Linked DNA regions of Canis lupus familiaris. The protein of the gene in region 5 binds, or shares a complex with, the protein of the main gene of each other region. Links are inferred from orthologs where the notes say so. Each region holds a gene or a part of one and is shown on either strand. Other genes may lie near its edges.

Region 1 (4,350 bases), on a different chromosome or scaffold from region 5:
TATGTCCATGTCCTTCAGGTAAACACTGTCCCCACTAAGTCTTCCTATAGTTAAGATGTGTAGACATTTTCTTTTAGTTTCGACTACCAGAAATCAATCACATTAACTGCCCATGTGTCACTCAGCTTAGATCCACGGTGTCAAAAATTCCCTTCTAACTTCGTTATGTTGCTAGTTTACCTTCTACAAACCAACTCCAAGTTTCAAGTCACTTTGCTCTGCTAAATCTGAAGTGCAAAAATGACTCACTTGTCACTAAATACACAGACCCCAAGAGGGAGGTTGCTCCAGTCACTCCTTTGGCCCTCCTGCACTTCCTGGAATGTGCCAGGCTCCTTCTGCCTCTCCAGCTGTACGCAGATACTACTCTGTTGGAGCGCCTCGCTGACTTTGCCCTGTCTAGCATAGGTGTTCCCATCTCACCACACACTTTGCCTTCACAGCACTTACTGCACTCATTATTAAAATAAAGACGGAAAAATAATTTCACCATTTATTTCCCTTGCCCAATCCTCAGTGTGCCAAAGGTGCCAAGGGGGGTAAAAACATAGGCTTAACTAAGATTTCTATTAAAAAAAAAAAAAAAGGTGGGTTCCTGCAGTATTGAGACGGTTAAGTAAAAGTGAGTGGCCAACATTTTTAAATTTAGAAATTTATTCTGTTTAATCCACAAGCTTTATATAGCTTTAGTTTAAAAAAAAAAAAAACAAAAAAACAAAAACAGTGAAAACAAGACACTATTTCAAAGTCTGGGCCCTTCCAGCCTTCCAAATACGAGAGCTCTGAAAGTTGTATATACCAATTGGAAGAACAAGACAAAATTATGAATGGAGCCATGACATTTCATAAAACAAACTTTTATATAACTGAAGGATCCTTCCTGGGACTAGTTAATTGCCTTTACAAAAAAACACAACAGAATAGAATGAATTCCAGTGTTCCAAATCAACTTGTTACACATCAATATAAACCCACAGTGTCCTGGCAAACAACATGCTTTCATTTTCCATCTCGTCCTAGAGCTCGAATCCTGATTCATTTCAGCAGAGACTCCACAGGCAACAGGAAAGATTGTGGCATTAAAATATTCATTTATACTTTGTGGTAGTTCAACAGTGGTCTTATTTCTGGGCAAGCTTGCAAACCATACAAGGTTGGAAGCATCATAACTTAAATGGGTGCTAAGACTCAAATGAGAAAAAAATAAAGAAAAAAAAAATGACAAGAAAGGAAAACCTCTGGGAATAGCCAAGGCCTTTAAAGAAACCATAAAAATGCCAACAATATTGAAACCCCCTTTTTTAAAAAGAGGATTTTTTTTTTGGCTTAAAATATTTCACTCTAAATGAATTTATGTCAGCTGTCAATGAAAGAATGTCACTAATACACTGTGGACACCTTTTGCAATGTAAATCCATGCCCCTTTTTTTTTTACATGGTGAACTTCAACCTAGCAATTATTACAACAAATGTTATAGTCTAAAGCTCAAACACATTTTAGCAATTTTGAAATTGAATTGCATACAAACCAAATAAAATGTACATCGTGACACACATTCCCGCCTAAGACTGTGGGGACACTTGAGCCTTCCGCATCGACCTCAGCGCCTTTTCACGCAGGTGCTTCTCTAAGTCGTCGAGGTTGTCTTCAGGCTCACTCTCCGTTTCCTAAAACCAGAGGGGCCACACTGGTGAGTCCTGACACACTGGCAGAGAGGTGTAGGGTGCAAGGGCAGAACCACATCATGGCAGTGACTGCACAACTCTAATACACTAAAACCCCCTCAATCAGCTGCACAACTCTATGAATATACTAAAAACCCCTCAATCATATACTTTCTTTTTAAATTTACTTTACTTAAGTACTCTATACCCAACACAGGGCTTGAACTCACAACCCTGAAACCCTGAGGTTAAGAGTTGTGTGCTCTACTGAGCCAGCCAGGCACCCTTGAGTGCCTTTTAATAGGTGAATGGCACGTTAATTATATCTTAAAGAAGTTATTTTTTAAAAATATACAGTAAGCATTTGGCAGCCATTCATATTCTTCTCCTTCGTCTTGGTAGATATCAAGAATGAGGATAGATCAGAAGAGTTAGCTAACAGCCGAGTAGCCATTATTGTAAAAAAATTCTTTTCTTCTCAACAAGTGACCAAGCGATCTGTAGAAGTCTAAGACACACACGTACCTTCTTAGGCTCGGGCTCTGCCTCCGGTTCCTCCTGTGCTGATGTGGTCGTGGGGGCCGCAGGGGCCGTGGGAGTGACAGCTGCTGCAGCGGCTGCTGCCATGGCCTTTTCCTTCTTGTGTTTTTTGTGCTTCTTGTGCTTCTTATCCTTTTTGTGTTTCTTGTCCTTCTTTTTCTTCTTTTTCTTTCCACCTCCTTCTGGGTCTGAGTTCTAGAAATCCAGAAAAATCCCAACAATAACATCAATCAGATTAAAATGTTGTCCAATAAACGTTTTACTTTCTCAAGGGAATAATTAAATGGACAAATCTCAGGAGTCCCCAAGGCTTTGGGGGAGGGGGAGCCCAAGGGCAATCCCTGCCAAGAAAAGTATGAAAACCACATTGCAAGTAAAGATGCTCTTCCCAGATTTTAAGATTTTAAGATGCCTGGGTGGCTCAGTGGTGAAGCGTCTGCCTTTGGCTCAGGATGTGATCCTGGGATCTGGGATCAAGTCCCACACTGGGCTCCTTGCGTGGAGCCTGCTTCTCCCTCTGCCTATGTCTTTGCCTCTCTCTCTCTCTCTCTCTCTCATAAATAAATAAAAGTTAAAAAAAAAAAAAAAAAGTCAGAATGGACCCTGAAGGACCTTTCTGATCTCCCCCACATTAAACCAAATTTCCCAACCATGAGAGGCCAGTCAGGTGTCCAGGATCCCAAGCTACCTCCAAATATAGGGAAAGCAACATGTGCAAAAGAGAAGTCTCTGAACTCAGCTAGACTTCAGGTGAATCTGGCTCCTGAACCTGTTCACCATTTGACCTCAAATATTTTTCTAAGCTCCCTCTGTAAACCTAAATGGGTACAGCAGTCCCCAATAAAGCTGTCAGGGTCTATCTGTAAACTGCCCACAATACTAGCCTAACAGGTGGCAGGCTTTCAGTAAGTACAGTTATTATTCTAAACACACACTCATGTGAATGCCCCATTCTCCAGCCACTGTTACAGCTTCTCCTGGCTCTAGACTGGAAATTGTTCCTTAATGCATAACCACTGACCGTTGAACAACATGGGGGATTAGAGGCAACAACTCTCCATGCAGTTGAAAACCTGTATATAACAAGCCCTCAGTCTGTACATAGACCAGAAGCCTTATGGGTAACATAAACAGTCACTGAACACATATTTTGTGCGTTATGTACATTTTATGCTATATTCTTACAATAAAATAAACTGCAGAAAAAAACATTAAGTATAAGGAAAAAAAAAGTATAAGGAAGAAAAAACACATTTACAATGCTGTACTGTATTCACCAAAAATTTCCATGTGTAAGTGGCCCCGCTCAATGCTATTCAAGGGTCCAACTGTTAACGCCAAAATTATGCAAAGGGCAATTCTGCTGTAATTGAATTCCATCTGTAATTCTCAAATTTCACATTTGTAAGCAGTTACTTAAAATTCCTCAATCCATTCAATTACTTTGTAAAGTAATTCAGGCAACCCGACTGCTGACATGGACATCTAACTACTGACTTCATACAATAAAGAAACCTATTCAAGATCAGATTAATGATTCATAGAGGGGATGATATAGTTTAAACTCCAATACTTTAATATCCCAATGACATTTAAACTTCACAAGGTAAAAACAAGTGTTATTCTTATTTATGCAACTTTTTTTTTAATTAAAGATTTTATTTATTTATTCATGAGAGAGACACACAGAGAGAGGCAGAGACACAGGCAGAGGGAGAAGCAGGCTCCATGCCGGGAGCCCGATGTGGGACTCGCTCCCTGGACTCTGGAAGCACACCCTGGGCCGAAGGCAGGTGCTCAACCGCTGAGCCACCAGGTGTCCCTTATTTATGCAACTTGCCAGAGGTTAAGACTAAACCAGACAATACTGTACTTTCCACTTCAGCTAGTATTTTACAGGTTGCCAGGTTCATTTTTTATAGAAATATATTATTTCTAATATATTAGAAATAGAAAAAGGGCACTACACGTAAAGAAAAATTAAGATTACTCATCACTTCCCCTTCTCACATATAATCACTATGAACATTTGGTACTTCTTTTGTAATATTTTTTCCTTCATAAACGTGGAATAATACTAACACACATGATCTAATTTTGAAAGTTTTATTGATTTTGTGATCTTCAGTATCCAGTATGTCAAAT
Region 2 (5,140 bases), on a different chromosome or scaffold from region 5:
CTTTGGAAGCATTGGCTCCTGGCGACCTGGGGATGGCGTGACTCACATTCTGCCATGGCCATGTTGTCCTGGAGACGCCAATCTTGCCCACTGCCTACCTCATGACCGCTGTGGGGTTAGATAAGCTACCGGACCCAGGGGACAATGCAGAAGCAGCTATGTTACCTGGCCACAAAGCTGGCAGTCTTGTCAACGATATTCCTGACCTCCGGAGGAGGATAAATAATTCCCACCACTGGCTTGGAGGGGGTAGAATCCTCCTTTGAAGAAGCTTCTTCTTCTGTGGGCTGTGAAAAACAAAAGGAAAGGAAAATGATGTCTCGACACTCCTGATCTGGGGGACTGGATCCCTACTGTCAACCTCCTCTAAAATTTATTGCCAGTATAGACTCTCTCTTACGAACTTTTCTTGAGTTAGGACCCATTGCTCCAGAAAAGCAGTTCTCTTAATTGTACAGCACTTGCATGGAACTCTCGCAGGGAACCAGTGAAGAGAGCAGCCTCCTTGGCTTCCTGCTGCTAGCTGGTCTCAGTGACACTGAGAATCTGCATTTGTACCAAGAGTCCAGATAATGACTGCTGAATAAAGATAGGCGATTCTTTGCTGGCAGCTCCTTATGTCGTTTTCCTCTGCATCTATTCCAGTCTTTACCACTCAATGCTCAAATGTTTTGTGAAACCCTACTGGAATATACATCAACTATCCTGTAAATTCCAATATTCTTTCTTCACCAGTTTCTTTCCCTTAGTAAACAAAGGGTCAGTCTCTCATCTTAAAAAATAGCAGTTCCCTGCCCTCATATTCTTTTCTGTGGCTGTCCTCTCCTCCTCTTCCTCTGATAGCTAAATTTCCTGAGTTCTCTGTCTTGCCATTCCTACCTATTTCCTCAGCTCCTGTTTGGTTCCCATCCATTTCAAGTGCTCTTGCCAAATTTGGTCAAATATGACTGCCTACAGCCAACTACAGCAGTCATCTATCTGGTCATGTGACCATGACCATTCCCTCACAAACCTCTCCACTCAAATCCCAGGCCCCATTCTCATGTGTTTTGCCTTCTTGCTCACCATTCCATCCGAGTTTCCTTCCTGGCTCCTGTTTCACCTCCTGCCCTATATTAGAGTTCCCCAAAATTCTATTCTCCACAGTATTCACACTGTCCTCAGGCACTCCAACCATGGGTCCTTCACTTCCCCTACCACTTCTAGGCTGAACAATCACACACAAATTGATGTCCCCGATCACTCTTGTGTGCCACAGAACTCCAGATCCAGCTGACTCCCAGGCACTTTCCTCTCTAACCACTTTTCTCATAACTGGCCAACAATATACTGTCATCCAGGGCAGAAACATGGGCCTCCTTTCCCTTCCTCAGCCTCCACATTCAACGATAACATTTATCAAGCACGCAGTAGGTTCCATATACTTTTCTAAGAACTTTAAATAAATTAACGCTATAGCCTTTATGAGAGCCCTTTCATGTGAATACTCTTATTCCCCCCCATTTTACAGATGAAAGAACTGAGGAACATAAAGCTTAACTGGCCCAAATGGAAGACCAGGATTCCAAAACTTTAGTTGGATTCCATCACTTTAGTTGCAGAGTCTGTACCACCAGCCATATTGTGACTTGAGCTTGCCCATCCAGTCTGCCCCCCCAAACCACCTCTCAGCATCTTTTGAGTAAACTGTGCTCCTAGCAATTCTCATCACTACCTGCCTACCTGAATTTCTGAAACACAAACATGTCATTAACCAGCTCCAAACTCTTCCCTTTCTCCCCACTATCTACTAGGAAAGTTCAAATGCCCCCAAATGCATCTTTTGCCACCACTCTCCCAATCCTATGTTTCAATCACACTTTTTAATTTACTCTTTACCAGAGACATCATCTGATTCCTACCCTGATGTCTTTGCAATTATCTGGTATTACTTTGTTTACTTTTCCCCAAGTGACTTGGGAAATGCCAGGAATACAGATATATTTAAAATACTTGTGGTAAGGGTACAGACCTCTTCTATCATGTACTCTGCTGTATTCTAAACCCAAAGCAGTGGTCACCATATAGCATGTATTGAATAAATGTTTGCTTAATGAATAAAGGATGCCATTAACCTTTTCCAATCACCTGTCTGGCAAACTACTAATTCATCCTTCTAAAAGCCATTTACCTGTCACTCATGTAGGCTTCACCTACTTTAATTTCCCCTACACTCCATCAAAGAAATGTTGCTTTGTTTCTTTTGTACCTGATACTAAAAGTGCCTATCACACAGTACTGCAATTATTTACACACCCTTTTCCCTCTCAGCTAATAAGTGCTGACTGTATCATTTACGGTGATCGAAAAAATAAACATTTGTAGAATATTCATCTTATATCTGCCTCCCCACTAGAACCATGAGCTGCCTACACTAGTTGTGCTTCATTCATTCTGGGTAAGCCGGAGCATGGTACGGTGTTTGGCTTAGAGTAAGCACCAAGCAGATGCTGTGAACTGTCTAAACTGTACCGTACAGGATGCGAAATTAAGGACTGCTGGGCAAAAGCCGGCGGGAAAGGCGAGGGTGAGGAGGGCCAAAGGTGGGCCCAATAACCACAGAAAACCTGCGAATGGGCATAATCAGTGTTTCTCAAACTTTAATCAATCACCTTGAGATCTTATTAAAAATGTATTAATATTTAGGTCTAGCATTTCTAATGAACTCCCGGGCAATGTTGATGCTGTTGGTCCGTGGACCACACTTCCAAGGGCGCTTTCGTTACCGAAGGCCGCGCAGAGCGGGAAGCGCGCGGCCTCCTGGGACTTGTAGTCCTCCAAGCCCTCGTAAGCGGCCGCTTCTTCCTCTGCCTTAGTGAGGAGTGCCCGCGCTGGAGGGGAGGGCCCAAGCCGAGGATAGGGCTGCCGGTCGAGGTGTGGGGGTCGCGGTACCTGTTTGGGCTCGGTGGCCGCGGGCGGCGGCGGGGGCACCGCCTGCACGGGTCCGGCCGGCATGACTGCGACGCTCAGGGCTGCCAGTCCGCCTCGCTGAAGGTGAGCGGTGCTGCGTCAAAGCAGCTCCCCGCACGGACGATACAACAAGCTCGCAAGATGGCGGCGTCCGAGAGACTCGACGCCAAGGAGGAGGAGCTGACGCACTTCCGGGACCGCCCCTTATTCATGATGCAACTTCCTGCTCCCGCCCTGGAGTGATCAGCGCGAGACGCCGTTGCCATGGCAGCGATCGAGGCACCCAGCTAGGATTTGTGGGGGTTCCCCGGAGCCCTAGGCGCGTCGGGGGGCAGTTCCATGAGCCGACCAGACCACAGGGGCTGAGGCTGCGACGCAGGATCCTGGGGAGACGTTCTACATCACCCACCGGACGCTCTCCGCACGCACCCCACGGCCCTGGCCCCCCCTCTCCTTTACTTTAAAGGTGGGTTCTTCTCTCCCTCCGACCCCGCCTTCAAGGGCCTTCCGCTCCCTCCCATTGGCTTGTCATTTTGGAGAACCCCTTCCCCTCCAACCTGCCTCCTCAAGGCCCCGCCTCCTTCCTCAGCCGGTTTCGCTTCATGCCTTCTTCCTTCAGACTCCCTTCCCAAGTCCCGAAATCAAATTCCCACTGGTTTCTCTTCCCGTGGGACTGCCTTTCAAGGTTCCACCCTCTGCCTTCCATGGTCCCGCCCTCAAGCCCCGTGGACCGTCTCGAATCAAGACTTCTTTAAGCTCCGTCCCTCACTCCCAAAGGTGCGTTCCTCCTGACCACTTCCTTAGTTTTACCGAGCTCACCTCGAATCCCGCTCTTTCCATTTCCTTTCCTGAGATCCGGTCCACCTCGTCCCCTCTCCTCTCCATCCCAGCTCCGGACCGCGGGTCGACTTTTAGCCTTTGCTTGGATAGTTTAACAATTTCTTTACTTGCGAAATGGAAACGGGATAGGAAAAGATGCCCTACCAAATGTCTTACCCCATCTCTCTTTCTCACAAGCACACACTCCGTAGCTGGTTTATGTCGTTATTTTTTTTAAAGATTTTATTTTATTTTATTTTATTTTATTTTATTTATTCATGAGAGACACAGAGAGAAAGAGAGGCAGAGACACAGGCAGAGGGAGAAGCAGGCTCCATGCAGGGAGCCCGATGTGGGACTCGATCCCTGGTCTCCAGGATCACACCCTGGGCTGAAGGCGGCGCTAAACCGCTGTGCCACCCCGGCTGCCTTGTCGTTGTTATTATTAATGTAGAATGATAATGATAGCTAGGACTTATTGTGGGGTTTTTTGTTTGTTTAAATATTTTATTTATTTATTCATGAGAGACACACAGAGAGAGAGAGAGAGGCAGGGACACAGGCAGAGGGAGAAGCAGGCTCCATGCAGGGAGCCTGATGTGGGAATGGATCCCAGGACTCCAGGATCAAGCCCTGGGCCAAAGGCAGGCGCTAAACCGCTGAACCACACAGGGATCCTTTTTTTTTCTTTTAAGATTTTATTTATAACTAGGTTTTATTGAACGTAAGTTTATCATGGACAGCTATTGCACCAAACACTACACGCAGTACATCACTAATTTCTTACAGCAGTTTATTTACAGATGAGGAGAGTGAAGTTCAGAGTTAGTGGCGTGGGAATCCAAACCCAGGCCATTCTTACTCCTCTCTCAGTGCCGCGGCTTATTCCTTTGTCTTCACCAAGTCCCTTCATTGTCCCTAGGGATCCAGGCAATTAGCAGTCCTGAGTCAGAGGCTGACAACTGGGATATATAGATAATTTCAGAGTTTTCAAAATGTTTTCATGGTTGTTACCTTGAATCTCAGGAGGGGCATTGACCAGGAGGTAGGCATAATCTTTACCAGCGGGGTCCTATGACTGGTCCATTGAGTCCTATGACTCAATGAACGAAGGGGCTTGCATGTTGAATGGGAGTAGAGAAAAGGCTCCTTCCCTTCTCTTCAAGTCAAAAGTCTACCATGAGCATGAGGTAACTGAGGAGAGGGCGAAGTCCACCCAGTTAGTGCCATCACCTGTATGATCTCAGAAATAGTCAATGCGGAATAGTCAATGCGGGGCTGGCAGCTTCAAGCTGAGGGGTTCCACTCAAGACCCAAGAATTACAGAGAAAACGCATGTCAAATGCTCCTTCACTTGTCACACACCTAAGTG
Region 3 (3,066 bases), about 58 Mb from region 5:
AGAGTTTCCTAGAGATTCTCTCCCTCTCCCTCCACTCCTCCCCCATTCACATTCTCTCTCTTTCAAAAATTAAATAAATAAAGTATCTTATCATTGTATCTTCAGTGTTTACTTTTTCCTTTTTTGCTATTTTTTTAAATTTTTTATTTAAATTCTATTAATTAATATGTAATGTATTATTGGTTTCAGAGGTAGAGGTCCATGATGCATCAGCACAATGGACTATTATCCATAAAAAAGAATGAGATCTTGCCATTTGCAATAACGTGGATGGCCCTAGAGGGTATTATGCTGAACGAAACAACTCAGACAGAAAAAGACAAATACTATATGATTTCACTTATGTGTGGAACTAAAAAAACAAAATGAAGGAACAAACAAAACAGAAACAGACTCATAGATACAGAGAACAAACTGGTGGTTGTCAAAGGGGGTTTAGGGGGATGGGCAAAATGGGTAAAAGGGAGTAAGAAGTACAGACTTCTTGTTATGGAATGAATAAGTCAAGGGAATGAAAAGTACAGGGTAGGGAATACAATCAATGATATTGTAATTGGGTTGTGTGGTGGCAGATGGTAGTTACACTTTCGGTAAGTATAGCATAATATGTAGACTTGTCAAATACTATGTTGTACACCTAAAACTACTATAACATTGTGTATCAACTTCAATTAAAACACACACACATGCACGCATGCACGTACACACACACACACACACACACACACACAGATTGTTGGGCCTCATCCCCAGAGTTTCTTTTTTTTTCTTTTTTTTTTTTTTTTAATAAAAACAATCCCACAGCATTTATTGTCCTCTGGTAAGAACATAAAGGTAATCAAAACAATATGAACAAGGGTTTTAGAACTATATTCCCAACAAAGGACATCTAAAAAAACAAACTACGTGGCCTTCTCAAGAATTTCTCACTTCACTGATCATTCATTCTAGTTGGAGACACTTTGGAGCAGGGTAATATTATCTCCTTTTAGCATGATCCGACCCAGTTGTTTTCTTGACTTTGTTTTAGAATGAATCTCTTTGGCATCGTCTAATACAAGGCTCATGTACTCATCAAAACCAATGATACAGCCCTCTATCCGCATGTTTATTTGCTCATAAAGCCACACCTGAATCCGAGATCTATTTTGCAAGTATCTGAAGATGAGGTTGATGGGCTGAACCATCACCTTCTGCACTTTCTGGCCCTGGCCACGGTACGCCATGGTGGAAGCGGACCCCAGAGTTTCTTTAATACATCTGCAACAAGGCCTAAGAATTTACATTTCTTTTTTTTTTTTAGGATTTATTTATTTATTTGTTTATTTGTTTATTTATTTATTTGAGAGAGAGAGAACACATGAGTGGGAGGGAGAGGGAGAAAGAATCTAAAGCAGACTCCCCACTGAGCATGGAGCCCCAACACAGGGCTTACTTAATTTCATGATTGCAAGAACATGACCTGAACCAAAACCAAGAATCAGATGCTCAACTGACTGAGCCACCCAGGTGCCCCAGAATTTATATTTCTAACAACTTCTGAGGTGGTGTCAATGCTTCTGGCTTAAGGATCACTCTTTGAGAAACTTAAGAAACAAACAAAAATGTATGGGATGCCTTCCTGTGTACCTACATACACCTGATTGGAGCTGCAGAATAAGAGAAGAAAGAGAAAGGGGCAGAAAGAATATTTGAAAACATAGTGAGCAGATCTTTCCAAATTTGATGAAATACATAAATCTACACATCCAAGTTATTATAGTCCCTATGTAGAATTGGCTCCTGCAGATGAGAACTCTGTCCTGGCTGACACCTTCATTACAATCTTGTGTGGCCCTGTAGCATAGCACCAAGCTTGGCCATCCCTAAATGCCTGCCCACAGAAACCGTGAGATAATGAGTATGTGTTCAAGCCACTAAGTGTATGGTTATTTGTTACCCAGCTACAGAAAATTAATACACTAGTCTGTCTGGCTCCTGCAGTCTATGCTCCTTGTCCCTTTCCTGATTAGTTAAACATATCATGAAAGGCAGTAACTGAGGAGTTGGTAGAGATTATAGACTTTCAGAGTTCCAAGAAACTCACAGGGCACTAGTCCAGCACCTCTAAGACATGCAGATCCCCTTCCTCAAGGGAACATCTAAGAAAATAGGGATATTGGGGATCCCTGGGTGGCTCAGCAGTTTAGCACCTGCCTTCGGCCCAGGGTGTGATCCTGGAGACCTGGGATCGAGTCCCTCATCAGGCTCCCTGCATGGAGCCTGCTTCTCCCTCAGCCTGTGTCTCTGCCTCTCTCTTCCTGTGTCTCTCATGAATAAATGAATGGAATCTTTTTTTTAATTAATTAATTAATTTATTTATTTATTTATTGGAATCTTTTTTAAAAAAAGAAGAAGATTGGGATATTGAACTATAAGATGGTGATCTGAGTCCCAATAACATTGAGATGATGACTAGGGATAACTACAAGTAGTGCTTTTAAATATTTTTTATGGCTGAGTGAAGTAAGTTAGTCGGAGAAGGACAAACATTATATGTTCTCATTCATGTGGGGAATATAAATAATAGTGAAAGGGAATATAAGGGAAGGGAGAAGAAATGTGTGGGAAATATCAGAAAGGGAGACAGAACATAAAGACTGCTAACTCTGGGAAACGAACTAGGGGTGGTAGAAGGGGAGGAGGGCAGGGGGGTGGGAGTGAATGGGTGACGGGCACTGGGGGTTATTCTGTATGTTGGTAAATTGAACACCAATAAAAAATAAATAAAAATAAATAAATAAATATTTTTTATGATTCATAGAGACCCACTGATTATGATATTTACTCTCTTTTCCTGTCATTGTTAGCAGTAAAAACACTGATAAAATTTGAAAACATCTGTGTGCTTGTTTCAGAGCCTTTGGGTCGGGGGTGAGGGATAAGGAACTTGAGTCTTGTTTTATAGACAATCTTAAACCATCTTCATTGACTGTGAAAGTGACAGAGAAGTGGATGATCAGCAGGTGATAAACACAGCAGAATTTTCAAGGCACCAGTTGCCAATCTTGAAGCCACATCATAATT
Region 4 (4,771 bases), on a different chromosome or scaffold from region 5:
CCAAAGAGCTCCAAGAGAAGGGCTGTGGGGCTCACACCCCCTCCGTGAGTTCATCCGAGGGTTCCGAAGATGACAAACCCCCAAAAAAATACAAAAAAGGTAAAGCACTAAGACCTGAGAGAAGATTCTGGGTAGTCTTAGTGTTTGCTCCTCCTAGTATTCACTGAGAATTGGTAATCAGTTATTAGGTGTGAAAAGGAAGGGTGTGGGGAACCGTATAGTAATTGGGAAAGGAGAGGTATCAGTGGAAGACTAATATCATGGGCTGAATTCTGTTTCCCAGTTCATATGTTGGAGTCCTAATCCCTCGAGACCTTAGAATGTGACTGTATTTGGAGGTCGGGTCTTTAGAAAGGTAATTTGGGGATGAGGATTGCCTTATCCAGTGACTTGACCTGTCAAGGGGGACAGTTGTCAAAGTTGACTTCTCACAGATGCTTTTCTGGAAGTATAGATTATGAGTGCTTCCCAATGCTACCAGTAGTGCTTTCCTTTGGCATACCCTCCCCCCTTCCCCCTCTTCCTTTCCTTATTGGTTGTGCCCCTTTTTCCCTCCAGACAAAAAGGAGAAAAAGAGAAGAAAGAAAGACAAAGAGAACACTGACCAGGAAGTACAGACAGAGCATCCAGTCTCCTCTTCATCCCCCAGAAACCAGATGGAAAAGGAAAAGGATGACCCTGGCTCTAAAAAGCACAGCACCAAGAACCCAGAGAGGGGTCAGAAGTCAGAACCCAGAGAGGTGCGCAAGCACCACCACAGCTCTCCCGAGGTCAAGACCACCTGCCGCAGCAGAGCAGAGGACAGAGAGAGGGAGCCGAGGAAGGAGAAGCCCAGGCACGAACGTAGGTCCTCAAGCAGGAGGGAGGAAAGAGAAGAAAAGAACAGAGAGAGAGAGAGACAGAGAGAAAGAGAGAGAGACAGAGACAGAGACAGAGCCAGAGGCCGAAGCTCAGACAGGCATTCCAGCCGGCACAATGGGCGTTCTGAGGGGCATAGCCGGAGAGGTAGAAGCAGGAGCCGAGAGAGATCGCACAGGCGTAAGAGGGCCCGGCACTCGCGTGACCGGGACTCCTCCAACCCCAGTGACCGCAGGCACCACTGAAGCTGTGGCCTGTTTGACAGTCTACTAGTACTGGAAATGGACTTGATCTTGAAAATGCAGTCATACTCAATTACACTTTTACTGTGAGGTAAATCTCTGGGCTAAATTCTTCCAATCCCTTGAGTATGAGAGTCATCGAGAGCTGTAGTCTTAACAGCCACATATCCTATACTTTTGACAAAATCCATTGTTCCTGGGAACATGCTCAGGACTTAAATTTGGTTTCGTAAATATGGCCCTTGAATTTACGACCCCAGTTTATGACATAATTGCCAGGAAAGGGGAAATACCAGGCAATCTAGGGATTCTAGTCTTTGTGCTAGATGTTTAGGTGGCAAGCCAGTTGGCAGGTACAGCCATAGAATAGAGGAGTGTGGTTTAACTAGATCTGGACAGCTTGATGGGAAGGGGATAGTGATTCTTAACACCAGCCCCCTCTCTCTGCCCCCTGCCCTCCTTTAAAAAAATTTTTAAACATCTGTTTTTCAATGTCCATGCACCGCCTCACTATTTATTTATTTATTTATTTATTTTGATCGAGGTGAAATTCACATAACATCAGATTAACCATTTCAAAGGGAACAATCCAGTGGCCTTTGGTATCTTCACAGTGTTGTAAAACCACCACTCCTGTGTAGTTCTAAAACATTTCCATCACTCCAGAATGAAACACTGTGCCCATTAAGCAGTTACTCTCCATTCCCCCCTCCTCGTCTCTGTCAGCCACCAATCTGCTTTTCATTCCTATTGGAACTACCCATTCTGCACATTTTATGCAAGTGGAATTGTACAATATATGGCCTTTTGTGTCTGGTGTCTTTCACTTAGTATATTTTTGAGGTTCATCCATTATTGCGGCATGGATCAGTACTTTGTTCCTTTTTATGGCTATCCATGGCATGGATAGACCACATTTTGTTTATCCATTCCTTGGTGGATGGACATTTGGATTGTTTCTACCTTTTGGCTAGCCAGCTGTTTCCACATTTCAGACAGGCCAGGCCACTTTTGGGTCATTTCCTTTTCAAGTAGCTGTTCTTGCTGAGATGGGAACACTTTGTCAGCTTCATTGCGTATCTCTCTGGTCGCCTTGGCAGGTTTTTTTTTTTTTTTTCTCATTTTGAGAACCTTGTCCTTTTAGTTTTTCAGTCAGTCCCTTATTGAGTTAGGTAGGAATTAGTTTGCAGGACCATAACACCGCTGCTGAATTACTAAGCTTGCACTTCTGACCCTTCAAAACAAAGGAACAGAGCTTTAATAGTGAACACATTTAATTAGTTTACTTGGTATGTTAGTTTGGGTCCAAGATTAGATGTGCAAGAGATTTTGTTTTTAGGAGAAAATGCCCATGAAAGAAAATGGGAAAGGAGGCTGGAGAAGTCCGGAAAAGCAGTCCGACTCTGATAGAAGTCTAACCTCTGGAGAAGAGGGAAAGCAAGAAGGAAGGTTGGGTAGGAAAAAGGCTTAAACTGCTATGGAGTTGTGAGAATGTTTGAGCAAGACCAATAAAATGGGAGCCAAAGCACCTGTCAGAAGATTCCCACTAGATCAGCTTTGGTAAGCAGAAGTCCTTGCTCTTGGGCCATGGCACTCTCTTTATGTGTCCATCATCCCAGTTGTGTAGTAGCCACTGACAAAAGGCCTATGCACCTCAGTCATTTTGTCTGCCTGGCAGTTTAGTGCTTCTTCTGTGGTGGATGCTCTGATGAATGTTAGCATGTGATACAAAAGTATTCACACTTTGCCTTATCTCTCACATGTCAGTCCACAGTTTTTACACCATACCTCCTTGTCTCTGATTTTTACCTCTTGTCCTTCCAGTCTCTCAACTGGATGGCCAGGCCACTGGCCACTGCCCAGGAGTCTGTGTATACCCAATTAAGAGTCTCACATTATGCCTCTTCTTTTACACCAAGTCAGGTGTACTACGTTAGATCCCATTCATTGGAAGATGTTTCCTTCTCCACCCCTGAATGTGGCAGTAAGGCAGATACCATTCATCATCACTATGTGCCCACATACTGAACGAACCCACATAAAAACCAAGCTCAAGCTGTTTTCTGCCTCAGCTGGTCATACATACAGGGACCCCCATTTGGCTAGAGGTGCAAAGATAGAGGGGCTACCATTCTTTGCATCTTCTAGGTTTTTAATAGTAGCACTGATTTACTCTGGCTCCACTGAGATGTAATATTGTTTTGATTTATGTATCAATTAGGGTTTTACCGGGAAAATAACCAGTAGGATATGTATATCTTGCTGTAAGCCAATTCCTAATGAGAAAACATGCAGGCATACCTCATTTTATTATGCTTTGCTTAATTGTGTTTCACAGATAAACTGTGGTTGTTTTTGTTTTGTTTTTTTGTTTTTTGTTTTTCAAAGTAAGGGTTTGTGGCAACCCTGTGTGAAACAAGTCTCTGTCATTTTCCAACAGCATTTTCTTCGTTTCTCTGTCAGATTTTGATAATCACAACATTTCAAACTTTTTCATTATTATTACATTTGTTACGGTGATCTGTGATTGATGGTTATGATTTACTGAAAGCTCAGATATTGGTTAGCATTTTTTTAGCAATAAAGTATTTTTAAATTAAGATATGTTCATTGTTTTTTTTTTACATACAATGCTATTACATACTTAGTAAACTATAGTGTAAACATAAATTTATATGCACTGGGAAATGAAAAGATACATGTGACTTGCTTTATTGTGATACTTGCTTTATTGTGGTCTGGAACTAAACCCCCAATAGCTCTGAGGTATGCCTGTGTGTGTATGTGTGTATGTGTATGGCAAGGAATTGAATTATACAGTTGTGTGGACTGGTTAGGCAAATCTGAAATTTATAGGGCGGGACAGCAGGCTGGAAACGCTTGGGCAGTAGCTGATACTGCAGTCCATAGGCAGAATTTCTTCAGGGAAATCATAGTTTTGCTATTAGGTTCTTCAACTGATTAGATAAGGCCCACCCTGATTATCAAGGATAATCTCTTGAAAATCAACTGATGGTAGATGTTAATCACATCTATGAAATACTTGCATAGCAACACCTATATTGTTGTTTGATTGACTAGTTGGGTACTATAGCCTGAGCCAAGTTGATACAGATAAGTAACCAGTCAATGTATTCTTGTCCAAGGTGGAGGAGAACAGTTTTAGAGGTTTCCACTTGACTTTCCTCACTGTGACAGCTCCTGCCCTAAAAGCCAGGGACCCCTGTGGGGAATACTCTTTAAGTACCAACTCAATTCCAGTTACATACTTGAGGAGTGGGAAATGACCACTAGGTCAATCTGCAGGCCCCCTGTGAGTCTTGTTTGAGGCCAAGACTTCAGTGATTACTCAGCCCTGGAGCCCCCAGCCCCCTATTTAGGGCCATGATCATGCTTCAGGTGTCTAGGTATCAATGTTAACTTTGATCTTGAGTCCAGTATTCCTTGAGTGTCTGGCTGTCTCCCCAGTGTACAGACACTGATATAAGTGACTATAGGTCCCATTAGGGGAGGTCCTGGGGCATATATGTCATTGTTCTTCCTTTTAGGGACCCAGTTACCTCTTCCAGGTCTGGAAACTGAGCAAGAAATTAGGACTTTTCATTGGAGAAACCTCAAACCTCTGCTCCTCCACTGTTCTCTTTTTCAGCTTGTAGATCTTGATACCCTTG
Region 5 (3,287 bases):
TTTGATGTTCCTCCAAAAAGCCAGATAATTTCAGTATTACCACCATTGCACTAGCAGTTCCCTCTGCCTGGAAAGCAATTCCCTGTTTTCTGTGTGACTATTTCCCTCCCTTCCTTAGTCTTGCTCAAGTGTAACCATCTCTATAGTCTAACATAAGCATCTTGTTTGAAAGTGCAAACGTACTGCTACTCCCATCCTGCACAACACCTAATAAACTTGTTTATGCCTACAATTTGTGTGCCCCCCCAAGTATAACATAAGCTCCAAAAGCGAGGCAAAATGCCCACCACATAGAACTGACTCAACAAGTATTTGTTGAATGCCGAATGAATGAAAGAACTCGTCTGACAGCCTGTCGTTTTTCAGGATGTGTCCAGAATCCCAAGAGAAAGAGACGATGCAACTTACATAGAGGAGTGGGCAATGCTAGTAAAGATTTTTCTGAATGCAAGAACATGAAAGAGGGATACAGTGATCATAAACCTTAATCCTCAGTCCTGAAGGCATTATGGGCCTGAAAAAAGCTCTTGGGAGAAGTCTGGGTTGGGGAATATTATAAAGATCGTGCAAGGCGGATTTAACTGTATGCCAATGAACGCTGGCCCTGTGCTCAACTCCTCCACCCATCCATCTCCCGCCTCTTCGGTCTCCCAAGAAACTAAAGTCCCCAAAGCCCTCCTTGGACCCCCTTCCACTCAAACGCAAGTGGTCCACACCAAGTGATTGAAAAACTTCTAGACTTTATGGAAAAAGAAACGACAATCAACTAGCCAAAAAAGAGCCTCCAAATCCCGTCTGATCCCAGTTCCTTCCCCCCTCTCTTGCTGGTTTAGGACCTCTCCACCGTCTCAGTTCTCACGGGTCCTGACAGTCTCCCAACGCTGTTCCTAAGGGTCCACAGGAAAGCAGGTCAGGCGGGACGGCCTCAGCTAAGCACTTGTGCACGAGGAAGGCGCGAGAAACAGGAGCAATGGAGAACCGGTCCACTTCGGGGCAGGAACACGCGGGAGAAACGGCAAACGGGAGGAACTCGGGACACGCTCCCGCGTGGCAGTGACGAGACGGGGGTGTCAGTTCTCCTCCGGCTTGTCGGCTGGCGGTCCGCAAGGCTGCAGCATCTTCTCCATCAAGTTGAAGCGGACTCGCGCTTTGCTCTCATTCTCCGCAATGGCGAAGTAGTTGAGAAGGTCGAAGTGGCCCATGTAGGAGCAGTAGGAGTCGCGGTGCTGGTTTACCAGCCACTCCCACTTGGTGGTGTCGGCGTGGCCCGTGCCGATGTACTTGGACTGCAGGTGCTCCAGCTGGCTGTGGATAGTGTAGCGGTCAGTCATCTCGCCGCTTTCCCTTCGCGCCCAGGTCAGACGCCGCAGAGGAGAAGCTGCTCTAGACTTCCACGCGGGAGAGAGCCCACGACACGGCACCTCCCGGCCGGCTCAGTCGCAGGAGAATGACGTCACAGCCACGGAGCCGCGAGGACTCGCGGTCCTAGCGCTCAGAGGAGGAAGCGGAAGTGTATTCCGTCAGGGAATTGGAGTTGCCTAGGCGACGCTACCAGTCGGCCGCCCACCCCCCGCCCCCGCCATGGAGAGCTCCGCCCCCTCCGTAGAGCGTTGCATCATGGTTCATTCAGTGGCCCTTGCTCTAGCGCGGAGCGTTGCATGCCGGGAGCTGCGGTCGCCGAGGGTTCGTGCGCGCCCGCCTCCCTGGGCGGTCGTCGCGGTTTAAGAGCCCGCCGGCGCCTGGTGGAGCGTCGTGTCGGGGAGGCGGGGAGCATCCCTGGGCGGCTGGGAGCTGCGAAGAAATGGGGAGCTGCCACAGGCCGCCGTGAGAGTAACCTCGGTGTAACTTTGGTTTCGGAGCGAATGTGGCGGCGTGGTGGGCCCCGTCACGGCCCGGGGTGGGTCACCCTGAGAATCGGTCGACGCGACTGCGGCTCCCAGCTGTGCGTCTTCCTTCAGCGCTGGCGGGGCCGCCGTTTCCCGCCCGGTGCCCGAGGACCCTACGGGCGCCGACACGTTCGGGCGCCGACACGTTCGGGCTCCCACACCGAGCCCCGCCCCCCCCGCCCCCCCCCGCCCCCCGGCGCTCCAGCTGCTTCATTTGATGTCCTGCCTCCAGCTGCTCGCCCCACCCTACGCACCCCAGCCTGTGTGTCTCAGCATTCCGTGCCGCTCGCCTCTCCAGTTCTTTGTACTAGATGTTCCCTCCGCTTGGAATGCTTTTGTTCCCTTGGCAAACAACTTCTCTCTTTAAGTCAGCTCAAAAGCATCTCCTTGAAATCGGCTTTGGCCACACCAGACAGACGTAAAGTCTCCTGTACATCGCTTCATTATGATCGCCTTATAGCCTACGCTTTGGGTTCTTTTTTTTTTTTTTTTTTTCTGAGAACTCCCTCGTGTGAATTCAAACTACTTGGGGGAAAGTAGCGTATACTTTTTTGATGCCATCATTTATCATAGCTTCTTTTGTGGCATCTTTTTTGTGATAACCACACTTGCGATACTTGGCCTGGTAGAGCTCGCATTCTCAAAAAACGTTTGATGAATGGATGAACAACTGTGGCAGCAAATAGAAGGGACTCTTTAGTGGGAGAAAGATGACTTTAAAATAGTTCTGTTCTGCAGTTAGGTACAGATGAGTAAGTCTAGAGATCTAATGTACACACAGCATGATGATTGAAGTTAATCCTGTATTGAATATTAGAAATTTGCCAAGAGAGTGGATTTCAGGACGTGTTGATTAGCTCAACTGTAGCGATCATTTCATTATGCATATCCATTAAATCATGTTGCAAACCTAAAACATAAGCAATTTTTATTTTCTAAAAAAAAAAAAATATTTAAAGGAAAGAAAATGACAAAAAGCATTCTTTATGGGAACAAATGCCTGTACCAAAAATGGAAAAATAAAAGTCTTATTCTTTGGTTTAAACCATGTTATATAACATTTCATTCCTAAAATGTGGAGACTGTTATAAGATATACCTGAGGATTCACTGTCCAGATATATCAGAGCTTACCATTTTGCCATTGCTTCCAACTTGGTTATATTTGTTTTGGTTTTGGTTTTCAAAGACATAAAATATAAAAAATGAAGTTCTCTGTGTTCCCCTCCATAATCTATTTACTTCAAGAAACCAGCTTGAATTTAAAGGTCACCATTTCCCAGTCTGGTTGGGGTTTTTTGTTTTTGCTGTTGATTGCTGAAAGTTTGTGTATCTAAGGGGTTATTTGAAGTTTAACATAAATGATACCCTGTGGGTATTTTTCCCTCATCAGAATCCATGT
Region 6 (4,790 bases), about 75 Mb from region 5:
GGATACACACTAGGGTGGGAAGCTGATGTGGGGATATGAGGAAGAACTGGGGGAAAGTCCTCTTAAAAAAATGGGGGGGGGGGCACCTGGGTGGTACAGTTGGTTGAATGTCTGACTCTTGGTTTTGGCTTGGGTCATGATCTCAGGTCATGAGAGTGAGCCCCACATCAGGCTCCTTGTTCAGCATAGTCTGCTTGGAACTCTTCCTCTCTGCCCCTTCCCCCCAAAATAAATGAAGTAAATCTTTAAAAAGATGTGGACACACAAATGTATATGAATAAACCACCACCGATTGTGCTCTTACTAAGCACCCAGGTGCCCTCTTCGAAGCAGTAAGCCAGTAATTCTCACTACATCTCACCCCCAGAAGGTAAACACTAGTATCACCCCCAGCTTGCAGAGCAGGACACTGGCGCAGTGGGATGATGTTTTAGAAGTGGCACAGCCCTGTTCAAATCTAGGTCTATCTGCCTTTTTGGGCCCAATACTTCCTGTTCTCACTCTTATTCTCCTTGAGAAGAAACCGAGGCTCCAAGTGAAAAGACTTATTCATGGTCATGTAACAGCTCGTGGCAAAAACATTCTAGACTTACACTTCGCCATACCACTTCCCAAATGCTAACTGAAGGCTGCAGGTTTTATGTTTATTGAGCATTTATCATGTTAGCTACTGAGCCAAGTACCCTTCCTACAGAAATATTTAATCCTCACAACTGTTCTATGAGGGGTATTTTTATGACGCACAGTTTGCAGACAAGGACACTGAGGCCGAGAGAGGAAATAACACTTGCTGTTCCCTCTGGCTGAAACACTCAGACCCTGGCTTCCTCCTTCATTGTATTTAGGTCTGTTCATCACGGTCTCTTCCTATGGAACCCCTAGCGTTACCGTCTAGGACAACACCTCCTTCCCAGCACTCCACACTCTCACCTGCCTTTACTATTCTTATGACACATTGTTTGTGTGCTTGCTGTTGGTTTCCCTACCTATGGCATAAGCTCTCTTAAGTATAGGAGTCCTCTTTCAGTCATTGCTGTGTCTCTGGAGCCTAAAAAAAGTACTGGGCATGGTACTTTATTTTTTTCTTTTGGGGCATGGTACTTTATATCGTAACTGCAAAACCTGATTAATAAGAGCTTCCTGGTGCCAGATGCTGTACTTCTAATGACTGTATTACACATCACATGTATTAAGTCACTGAATCTCTGCAATCACCAGAATTACTGCCATTGAATGGAAGAGATAAAGTTACTTGTTGAAGGTTTCATGGCTGCTAAGAGGCAGAGTCGAGACACAAACCCAGGAAGCCTGGCTCCCAAGTACATGCCCATCACTACTGTACTGCACAGCTGGAAGGACAACAAGACACCATTGCACTTTGAGGTCTGAATATGCTTATGCCCCAGGACTCTGAAAACCTTGTATTTGGGTTCCTCACACTGGAACTGTGTCTGCATTTCCAAGACAGAACACCTTCCAGGACCCAGGTGCTTACCTGTCGAAAGCCTTCACACGGCCCAGGAGCTTCTTGTTGTTGCGGCAGTTGATAAGCACCTGGGTGTTGTTCTTGACTGACTGTGTGAGCACAGAGAGCGGACCCGTGTTAAACTCTTCCTCCTCCCGCTTCTGTAGCTCCTCTGGGGTCATCTCACTCTTGGGTTTGTTGAGGAGGCTCCTGAGGGGCAAGCATGGAACCCGTAGGTGAGAGGCCCAGAGCTAGAGCGTGGGTGGTCACATGATGTCTCCCCAACCCACCCACCCCCCTGCTCAGTCCCTCTTGCATGGCATCACCAGCTGGATGCTGAATAGACATTTCCAACCGTATACATCCTCAGTTGAGCTCCAGATCTCCCAATCACTCAAACCTACTCTTTCCACAGCCTTCCTCATCTCCATCATTCTAGTTCCTTGAGCAGAAACCCTGATATCAACTTGACTCTTCTCTCTCACATCCTACATTCAATGTCAGCAAATTCTGTCATCTGCCTCTAAAATATACCCAGAATCTGTTTCTTACCATGGCCTAAACCTCTATCATCTCTCTCCTGAGAGCCTTACTTGTCTCCCTACCTCAGCCCATGCCGCTGACCGTCTGTTCTCCACAGCAGTCCCAGAGGTTGTATCAAAATCTAAGTCATATCATTTCACTCTTCGAAACCCTCCCATGGCTCCCATCTCTGTGTAAAAAGTAAAACCCAAAGTTTTTACAATGCCTGGCATCTTCCCATCCTTCTCTGTTCCAGCCAGTGGCCTTGAAGGTGGTCCTTTAAGATATTAGGCAAGGGGCGCCTGGGTAGCTCAATGGCTGAGCATCTGCTTTCGGCTCAGATCCTGACCCAGGGGGAATCCCTGGGTGGCTCAGCGGTTTAGCGTCTGCCTTTGGCCCAGGGCACGATCCTGGAGTCCCGGGATCAAGTCCCACATCGGGCTCCCTGCATGGAGCCTGCTTCTCCCTCTGCCTGAGTCTCTGCCTCTCTCTCCCCCTATGTCTATCATGAATAAATAAATAAAATCTTAAAAAAAAAAAAAAAAAAAGATCCTGACCCAGGGATGCTGGGATCGAGTCCCACATCGGGCTCCCTGTGGGGATACTGCTTCTCTGTGTCTCTCACAAGTAAATAAAATCTTTAAAAAATATATAAGATATTAGACAGACTTTCACCTTGGGCATCTCCCTTCGTTTTCCCTCTGCCTGGATACCTCCCCAGGTATCTTTGTGGTTCTCAGGTTCTTCAGGTCTCTGCTCAACTGCTGCCTTCTCAATGTGTCCTGCACTGGTTATTGAGTTACTTTCTCTCAAAACTAGTACTCCCCATTGTTTGGATCCTGCTCTTTTGCTTCTTTACTCACTTAGCTCTGATCACCTAACACACGCCATACACTTTACATTTTTATCACCGGTGTGTTCATTGTCTGCCTTTTCCCACACCCATAAGCTGCAGCAGGGCATTTTTCTTGCGGGATGGGGGTCGCAGTCACTGATGTATCTCACGTAGTTAAAGCAGTGCCTAATACATGAGTGCTCAATAAATAATTGCTGAATGAATACCAAATCAGGAAAATCATTAAGGCGATTCGTGAGCCGAAAAAGTCGCGAATGAGGTGAACTTCTCCAGCTCAAATTGTCCGGGTAAGTCCCGTACCTCAAACCGTTATTTCTAAAACTCCGCACTCCCGTTTCCCAGGTTCTTTGCTTCCCCTTAAAATCCATTTCAGCGAGACTCATTATCGGGGAAATCCCGGCTCATTAACTGATCAAGTGCCTTCCCTCGAACTCAGGACCCGTAAAAGGCCCCATGCCCATCCTCAAACTCGTCAGAACGGTGCGTACTTTACCCCTAAAACCTCTGCCTCCGATCCCGCCTCGCCCACCACCGGCAAACGGCCACATCTACGCCCTCGACCCCACTCCCGCCGGGCCTCACATGGTGGTAGCGGCTGCGCTCGCAGATCAGCTCCGTCTTCCCCGCGTTGCTCCTGCCTCTGAAGAGAGGGCTACAGGCGGGACTTCCGTTTCCTGTGGCCGACTTCCGTCGGCGCCTGCGCAATCCCAACCTGCACGGTGTGGGCGAGGCCTGTTGCCGTGGCAATCCGCGCCGGCCCCGCGCAGACGTGGGGTAGAAGCACTGCGTAGTAGCTCAGGGTCTTTCAGGACCATATGGAGAGAAGACAATGGAGAGAAGAATAAAGCGGGTCCGACTCAAATCGTTTCGTTGTAGAGCGGCACAAGCTGAAGAAGGGACAGGACACGGCATTCCAAAAGCCCGCCGGCTCCGCCCTCGGGGGCGCGGCCTCCGTGTAGCCAATCGGCTCCTCGCTTCTGGGACGGGCACCGCCCCTTTTCCATCGGTGTCGGTTCGTTTACGTGTCTATTGATCTTTCCGACTTCGAGTAACCAATCCTTTGCCTTCCTACGGGAGGGGCGGAGACCTGCTCCTTGGTCCAACGTTTTTCAGGATCAAACATTGCTCATTGGCTTCCGTTCCTCCGTTGAGGCGGAGCCTCTCCCTTTCGCACTACCCTTTTGGGTTGTGCAACCCTCAGGGGAACCAACCCCAAAGCCCCAGGGAGACAGGAAGGCGTGTTCTCAGAGTGAGGGTCGCCATTGGTTTCACTGACCGAGGGTGGGTGGGATGGTGCAGCCGCTCTTCGTGTTTATTGGTTCGGTGATTCCATGGGGTGGGATTTGGCTGGGCCTAAACTATCCGCGGTCCGGGACCGGTTTCGGGGCGAAGCTGCCATGCCTTCCGGGGGCCGCGGGCGGTCCCGGCTACGGCTCGGGGAACGTGGCCTCTTGGAGCCGCCCTCCCCGCCCAAGCGCCGCCTGCTCCCGCGGGCGCACTTCTTGCCTCTGCTTCTGCTGGCCCTGGCCCTGGCTTCGGCGACCTACACCATCTGGAGCGGCTGGCACCACCAGACTGAGGAGCTGCCGCGGGGCCGGGAGCTGCGGGTGAGGCCCGGCAGGGGCACGGGCACCGCGGGAGCCCTCATTCCCCGCCTCCCCTTCCCTGAGGTCTCAGGTTGACGTGGCTGTGTCGTCTGGCCCAAGCTGCAGGTGCTGCGGTCTCCGTCGATAGAGCGCATGCCCGTTGCTAACGAACTGAGGCTTTGGGCTTGTTCTGTAATAGGTGGTTCTACCTAAGAGGGAGAGTCTGCAGTAGTAACACTGGGAATTCTGGGTTCCAATCTGAAAGTCAGCTATTTGGAAGAGTCCCTTCCTCTCTCTCGGCCTCGATTTCCCCATCAGGATTGAGGTGGGCTGGACCTGGTGGGTTTAGAGGGACTTTCCT
Region 7 (4,893 bases), on a different chromosome or scaffold from region 5:
AGGATGAAAGTACTTCCATAAAATCCATTCATTTGGGCAGCCCGGGTGGCTCAACGGTTTAGCACCGCCTTCAGTCCAGGGTGTGATCCTGGAGACCCGGGATCGAGTCCCATGTCGGGCTCCCTGCGTGGAGCCTGCTTCTCCCTCTGCCTGTGTCTCTGCCTCTCCCTCTCTCTGTCTCTATGAATAAATAAATCTTAAAAAAATAAAATTCCATTCATCCCCACTCTGAATGAGATCACATTCCCATGAGGCTGATGACAAAACTTGGTGGGGAGAAATCTAGCCAATGATGCCTGGGTCTCACCTGCTGACCCTCCCTGAGCAAGTGCCATGAATAGGGAAAAGCCCTGATTCAGGGCTACATGGGAGTCTCCTGGGGCAAATCGAGTAGCTGCTACCCTGGCCCTTCCTATACCCTTACCGCCCTGTGGGGTCTGGCTGAGATCACTAGGAGAGCTCTATCAGGTCTCAAGGCTCATCGTCATCTATGGAATCAGAACCCAATGGGACACACACACATGGTGTAGGTGTCCAACAGGGATGATCAAGCTTGAGTTTGGGGAAACTCAGGCCCAAACGGACCATCCCCAAACCTCCAATGTCTTGAGGTTCATTAATCCTAGCCCCACTTCTCCAGCAGACCCATTCTGTTCATACACATACCAGCCACGGCGGGAGGAAGCATCTCAGTGGCTCTGCAGCTGGGTCTCTCCCCATCCCCACCAGTAACCTGTGTTCCCAGGGAAGGGGGGAGGGGCTCACAGTATCATGACTGATTATCAATGCTATTACTTAGACTCTGTATTAAAAGTAAAGCATGAAAGACATGGGCCTGGAGTCCAACCTCAATGGCATCACTTCCTGGATGTGACACCTGGGTGAAGGACTTCCCACTTCTAAACACTGATCCTCTCAAGTTAAAATAGGCTTAACAGCAGAGTCTACTGACCTTGGAAGGTAAGAAAGAGGAGAAAATAAACAATGCATAAATATACAAAGAATGAGCACACTAAGTATTAGTTCTTATCATTGTGAGGTCACTTTCTCTCAGTTTAAGGAAGATCTAGGTGGGGGAACACAGGTAGAAACCACATCTGGGGACCCCTGGATGGCTCAGGTTGGGCACATCCCTTCAGCCTGGGGCATGATCCTGGGGTTCCAGGATCAAGTCTCGCATTGGGCTCCCTGCATGGAACCTGCTTCTCTCTCTGCCTGTGTCTCTGCCTCTCTCTCTGTGTGTCTCTCATGAATGAATAAATAAAATCTTTTTTTAAAAATTTAAAAAAAGAAACCACATCTGCATCCCCCAAGGATCAGATTCACTGTCAAATCATGAGTATCAGAGAACAGCTCAGAGGAACAGATGAACACTAACAACTCTTACCTGCAGTGATCAAAAGGTAAACGACGAAAATTTGCTTGTGGGATATCTGTTTAAGATGAAAATAAAACAAAGTTTATTCTATAAATAACTTTATGTAGGTGTTCCTACCAACAATTCAATACCATGTTAAGAAAAACTTCGTGTAAATTACCTAGTGCAAAAACTGCTGTGGCTTAAAAACCTTTTAATAGGTAGAACACGTGGAGGACATCAAGAAAGAACTTAGAGGCCAAAGTACATACTTGCTTAAGCCACTGCGGCTGGGTTTCTCCCACAACCCTCACACCCCTGCTTAGGGCCTTGCTTGGCTTTCAAAGACAACTATGTTGGTTTTACCTCCATCAGCAATTATTGAGTGTATAATAATTTTTACTCTTTTTACTGGAGCCTTGACAGCTTTGGGTATTATCATTCTTTTTATTTTTTATTAACCTGACAGAAGAAAGAAGGTTATTTTAATCTACGTCCAAAAATATCATCACTGGGGTGCCTAGGTGGCTCAGTTGGTTAAGCTGACTCTTAATTTCAGCTGAGGTCATGGTCTCAGGGTCATGAGATTGAGCTCCACATCAGCATGGAGTCAGCTTGAGATTCTCCCTCCCTCTGCCCTCGCTCGATCTCGCGTGCTCTGTTAAAAAAAAAAAAAAATCGCCACCAAGAGGATTAAGCATTTTTCTTGGATATGTTTAGTGAATTTCTCCTTTGCAAATTATCTGCGTTCTAAACGCATCCATCTGCTACACTTTCTGTGTTCTTGCTCATTGTTAATTTTTACAGTCTCATTGTCTAGTGAAGATAGCGCCCTTAATTACAACCTCCCCCATGACACACATCCACACCAAGGAAAACAGAAGGATTGCATGCCTTACCTGGTTTCTTGCCACCATAGAAGTGAGTGTATTCAGCACAGGTAATATACCTGAAGAAGAGAGAGAGAGAATCTTACTACCATCTCCCTTTATAAAGAGAACAGAGTCTCTGGAAGTAACTGATGACTCAATCATTTCACTCATTCAGCAAATGCTTATTAAACACCTACTATGGGGCAGCCCAGGTGGCTCAGCGGTTTAGCGCCACCTCCGCCCGGGGTGTGATCCTGGAGACCCGGGGTCGGTTCCCGCATCGGGCTCTCTGCATGGAGTCCGCTTCTCCCTCTGCCTGTGTCTCTGCCTCTGTGTGTGTGTGTCTCATGAATAAATAAATAAAATCTTCATAAAAAATAAATTTGAGATATCAGACCTCCAACTGGAGATGCCGAGTAAGCAGCTGACTACTCCAAGAGGGGATACCACAAGGGAGAATGTAAAGGAGAAAAAAACGTGGAGGACATGGATGTACCAAGTCTGTGGGAGAGGGAGAAGGATCCAGCGAAGGGGCCTGAGAAGACAGTGGCCGCTGAGGCAGAAGGAAAATCAAGAGCATAAGGTGTCCCACATGCCGAAGAAGGGCTTCAGGAGGATCGAGGTGGTCACTGTGTCACATGCTGTTGAGAAGCCCAACAAAATGAGAATTGAGAGCTGACCACTAGACTTAGCAACAGGTAAGTTACTGGGATTCTGACAAGAGTTGGCCTTGGGAGAAAAGCCTGCCTGGAGTGATTTCAAGAGACACAAGAAGGCAAAGGGCTGACTGAGGAGCCGCGCTCGCGAGTGCAGACCGGGCGGGAAGGCCGCGCTCGGAGGAGGGCACCTACGACGGGTCAGAACCGGCAGCCGGAGACCTCGGCGCCCGGGGGGGGTCACTGCCCACCGGGGAGGGGGCGGAGGCTTTGCGGACCCAGCGGCATCGGAGCGTGGCTCTGGGAACCAGCTGGGGGGCGGGCCGGGCGGGCACGGAGGCCCAGCGGCTCAACTCACATCTTGTCCTTCTGATGCTGTCGCTTCCCCATGACGGCGGCGGCGGCGGCGGCGCTGGCAGCGCCAGGACCAGCGAGGGCAGAGAAACGGCTGTCAACAACTCAGACTCCGACTTGTCCGCCGAGCTCCCTAATTACTTCCGGGTCCCGCGGCCCCGCCCCGGAAGCGGGCGCAGGGCGGACCGGAAGCGCGGCGTCTGGAGCCGAGTGCGCATGGGCACGGGGTGCGGTGGGTCCTGGGGCTCGGGTCCTGGTCAGGTGGCCGCGGGAGGCGGGCTCGGGACCCCTCCACGTGCGCACCAGCCGCGGCCCCGTCCGTCCCTGCTCGAGCCCGCCCCGGCCTCTCAGGCCTGGCACCGCGAGTCCCACCAGTCTCGGCCTCATCTCTGCTTCCTTGCGTGCCCAGCATCCCCGCCCGTCCAGCCCCCACCGCCTCCGGGCCCCTCGCCTTGGCGGCTCGGGGGCACGTGGCCCTGAAGGTCCAGCGCCCTCGCGGCTCTCTTCCGTGTCTTCCTAAGGACCCTTCCCTCCACCAGATCGCTGTGTCCGTGTGCCCAGGCCTGAGCCCTAGATCACTGGGTGATCTCGCCCAGGCTCCTGGCTTTAAATACCACTTGTATCCCTTGATTCTTATCACTAAACGTCCACACTTCCAGACCCCTGGCCTCTACTTAGGTACCACAGATCTCAAATTTAACATGTCTGGTCAAAATAGCATTCTCCTTACCCCATTCACAGCCCCCCCCCCCCCCCCCGCCGTTTCCTCAACTGTACCACTAGCCAGTCACCCAAAGCCAGTGGTCCTTGCCCTTTCTCATCTCATAGCTGCCTCCTCATATTCTAGATTTCGATATAAATGTCACCTCCTCAGAGGGACCTTCACTGACAGACAACCTACGCATACGTGTCTGCATACTCAGCTCCCATTGGACTTACCACAACTTCTAACCCTGTTACTAATTTGATCTGTGCACTGGTTAGATACACATCCACAAGGATAGGATGGAAGCTCCTTAAGAGTAAGGACCCCAACCATTTGGTTTATTATCTCCCAAGCAAGGTGTGGGGCATACACAGAGGTTCAACAAATATCTGCTACTGTCCAGCAGTCATCAAGCATTTTGTGAGGACTCCTCTCACACGCAGGTTTGATTCTATAGCTGGTGTGTAAGATGGGTCCCATCTCTGAAATTCCATAGGGGGGTGCCCTAGGGTTGTTAGTTGAAAACTAACACACCAGGAGCACCTGGGTGGCTCAGTCAGTTAAGCGTCTGCCTTTGGCCCAGGTCATGATCCTGGGGTCCCAGGATTGAGCCCTGCATCCAGCTTCCTGCTAGGCAGGGAATCTGCTTCTCCCTCTCCCTCTGTGCTCTCTCAAATAAATAAATCCAAAAAAAAAAAAAAAAAAAACCAAACAAACAAAAACAAAAAACCCTAACATACCTAACATACCAGCTTATTGGAAAATAAGGGAGGGAACAGATCACTCTTTCTACACCCACACCTGGATAAGGCCTGGTTTAGGGGCCTAAGCTAGGAAAAACTAATAGACTTGCAACTCAGTGCGGTCAGTTGAGGCCCCAAAGGGGCCACAGAGTCACTGTAGGGGAGGACAGCAGTCTCATCACTCATTTCAAAGTGCTGTGGTTGG

The links.
Region 1: SF3B5 (region 5) and SRRM1 share a complex: the UniProt entries of both Homo sapiens proteins name them as parts of the minor spliceosome. The link is inferred for Canis lupus familiaris from reciprocal best matches to the Homo sapiens genes SF3B5 and SRRM1.
Region 2: SF3B5 (region 5) and SF3A1 share a complex: the UniProt entries of both Homo sapiens proteins name them as parts of the 17S U2 SnRNP complex. The link is inferred for Canis lupus familiaris from reciprocal best matches to the Homo sapiens genes SF3B5 and SF3A1.
Region 3: SF3B5 (region 5) and small nuclear ribonucleoprotein E-like share a complex: the UniProt entries of both Homo sapiens proteins name them as parts of the minor spliceosome. The link is inferred for Canis lupus familiaris from reciprocal best matches to the Homo sapiens genes SF3B5 and SNRPE.
Region 4: SF3B5 (region 5) and RBMX2 share a complex: the UniProt entries of both Homo sapiens proteins name them as parts of the minor spliceosome. The link is inferred for Canis lupus familiaris from reciprocal best matches to the Homo sapiens genes SF3B5 and RBMX2.
Region 6: SF3B5 (region 5) and SNRPD2 share a complex: the UniProt entries of both Homo sapiens proteins name them as parts of the minor spliceosome. The link is inferred for Canis lupus familiaris from reciprocal best matches to the Homo sapiens genes SF3B5 and SNRPD2.
Region 7: SF3B5 (region 5) and PPIL2 share a complex: the UniProt entries of both Homo sapiens proteins name them as parts of the minor spliceosome. The link is inferred for Canis lupus familiaris from reciprocal best matches to the Homo sapiens genes SF3B5 and PPIL2.

What each region holds. Positions count from the first base shown.
Region 1 is NC_049223.1:74,413,652-74,418,001, forward strand, and holds the end of SRRM1 (serine/arginine repetitive matrix protein 1), read right to left. Parts: intron 2,401-4,350; coding exon 2,191-2,400; intron 1,669-2,190; coding exon 1,564-1,668; 3' UTR 637-1,563; downstream 1-636. UniProt on the Homo sapiens protein: Part of pre- and post-splicing multiprotein mRNP complexes. As a component of the minor spliceosome, involved in the splicing of U12-type introns in pre-mRNAs. Involved in numerous pre-mRNA processing events.
Region 2 is NC_049247.1:23,910,092-23,915,231, forward strand, and holds the start of SF3A1 (splicing factor 3A subunit 1), read right to left. Parts: upstream 2,995-5,140; coding exon 2,932-2,994; exon of another isoform or gene 2,884-2,931; intron 288-2,883; coding exon 166-287; intron 1-165. UniProt on the Homo sapiens protein: Component of the 17S U2 SnRNP complex of the spliceosome, a large ribonucleoprotein complex that removes introns from transcribed pre-mRNAs.
Region 3 is NC_049222.1:93,812,624-93,815,689, reverse strand, and holds small nuclear ribonucleoprotein E-like, read right to left. Parts: upstream 1,246-3,066; 5' UTR 1,227-1,245; coding exon 948-1,226; 3' UTR 786-947; downstream 1-785. UniProt on the Homo sapiens protein: Plays a role in pre-mRNA splicing as a core component of the spliceosomal U1, U2, U4 and U5 small nuclear ribonucleoproteins (snRNPs), the building blocks of the spliceosome.
Region 4 is NC_049260.1:102,441,659-102,446,429, forward strand, and holds the end of RBMX2 (RNA-binding motif protein, X-linked 2), read left to right. Parts: coding exon 1-99; intron 100-558; coding exon 559-1,103; 3' UTR 1,104-3,700; downstream 3,701-4,771. UniProt on the Homo sapiens protein: Involved in pre-mRNA splicing as component of the activated spliceosome. As a component of the minor spliceosome, involved in the splicing of U12-type introns in pre-mRNAs.
Region 5 is NC_049222.1:35,794,747-35,798,033, forward strand, and holds SF3B5 (splicing factor 3B subunit 5), read right to left. Parts: upstream 1,466-3,287; 5' UTR 1,332-1,465; coding exon 1,071-1,331; 3' UTR 721-1,070; downstream 1-720. UniProt on the Homo sapiens protein: Component of the 17S U2 SnRNP complex of the spliceosome, a large ribonucleoprotein complex that removes introns from transcribed pre-mRNAs.
Region 6 is NC_049222.1:110,602,262-110,607,051, reverse strand, and holds the start of SNRPD2 (small nuclear ribonucleoprotein Sm D2), read right to left. Parts: upstream 3,477-4,790; 5' UTR 3,428-3,476; coding exon 3,426-3,427; intron 1,676-3,425; coding exon 1,496-1,675; intron 1-1,495. Other genes in the region: QPCTL (glutaminyl-peptide cyclotransferase-like protein), read left to right, coding at 4,175-4,450. UniProt on the Homo sapiens protein: Plays a role in pre-mRNA splicing as a core component of the spliceosomal U1, U2, U4 and U5 small nuclear ribonucleoproteins (snRNPs), the building blocks of the spliceosome.
Region 7 is NC_049247.1:31,106,894-31,111,786, reverse strand, and holds the start of PPIL2 (RING-type E3 ubiquitin-protein ligase PPIL2), read right to left. Parts: upstream 3,406-4,893; 5' UTR 3,276-3,405; coding exon 3,244-3,275; intron 2,307-3,243; coding exon 2,257-2,306; intron 1,434-2,256; coding exon 1,388-1,433; intron 1-1,387. UniProt on the Homo sapiens protein: Has a ubiquitin-protein ligase activity acting as an E3 ubiquitin protein ligase or as an ubiquitin-ubiquitin ligase promoting elongation of ubiquitin chains on substrates.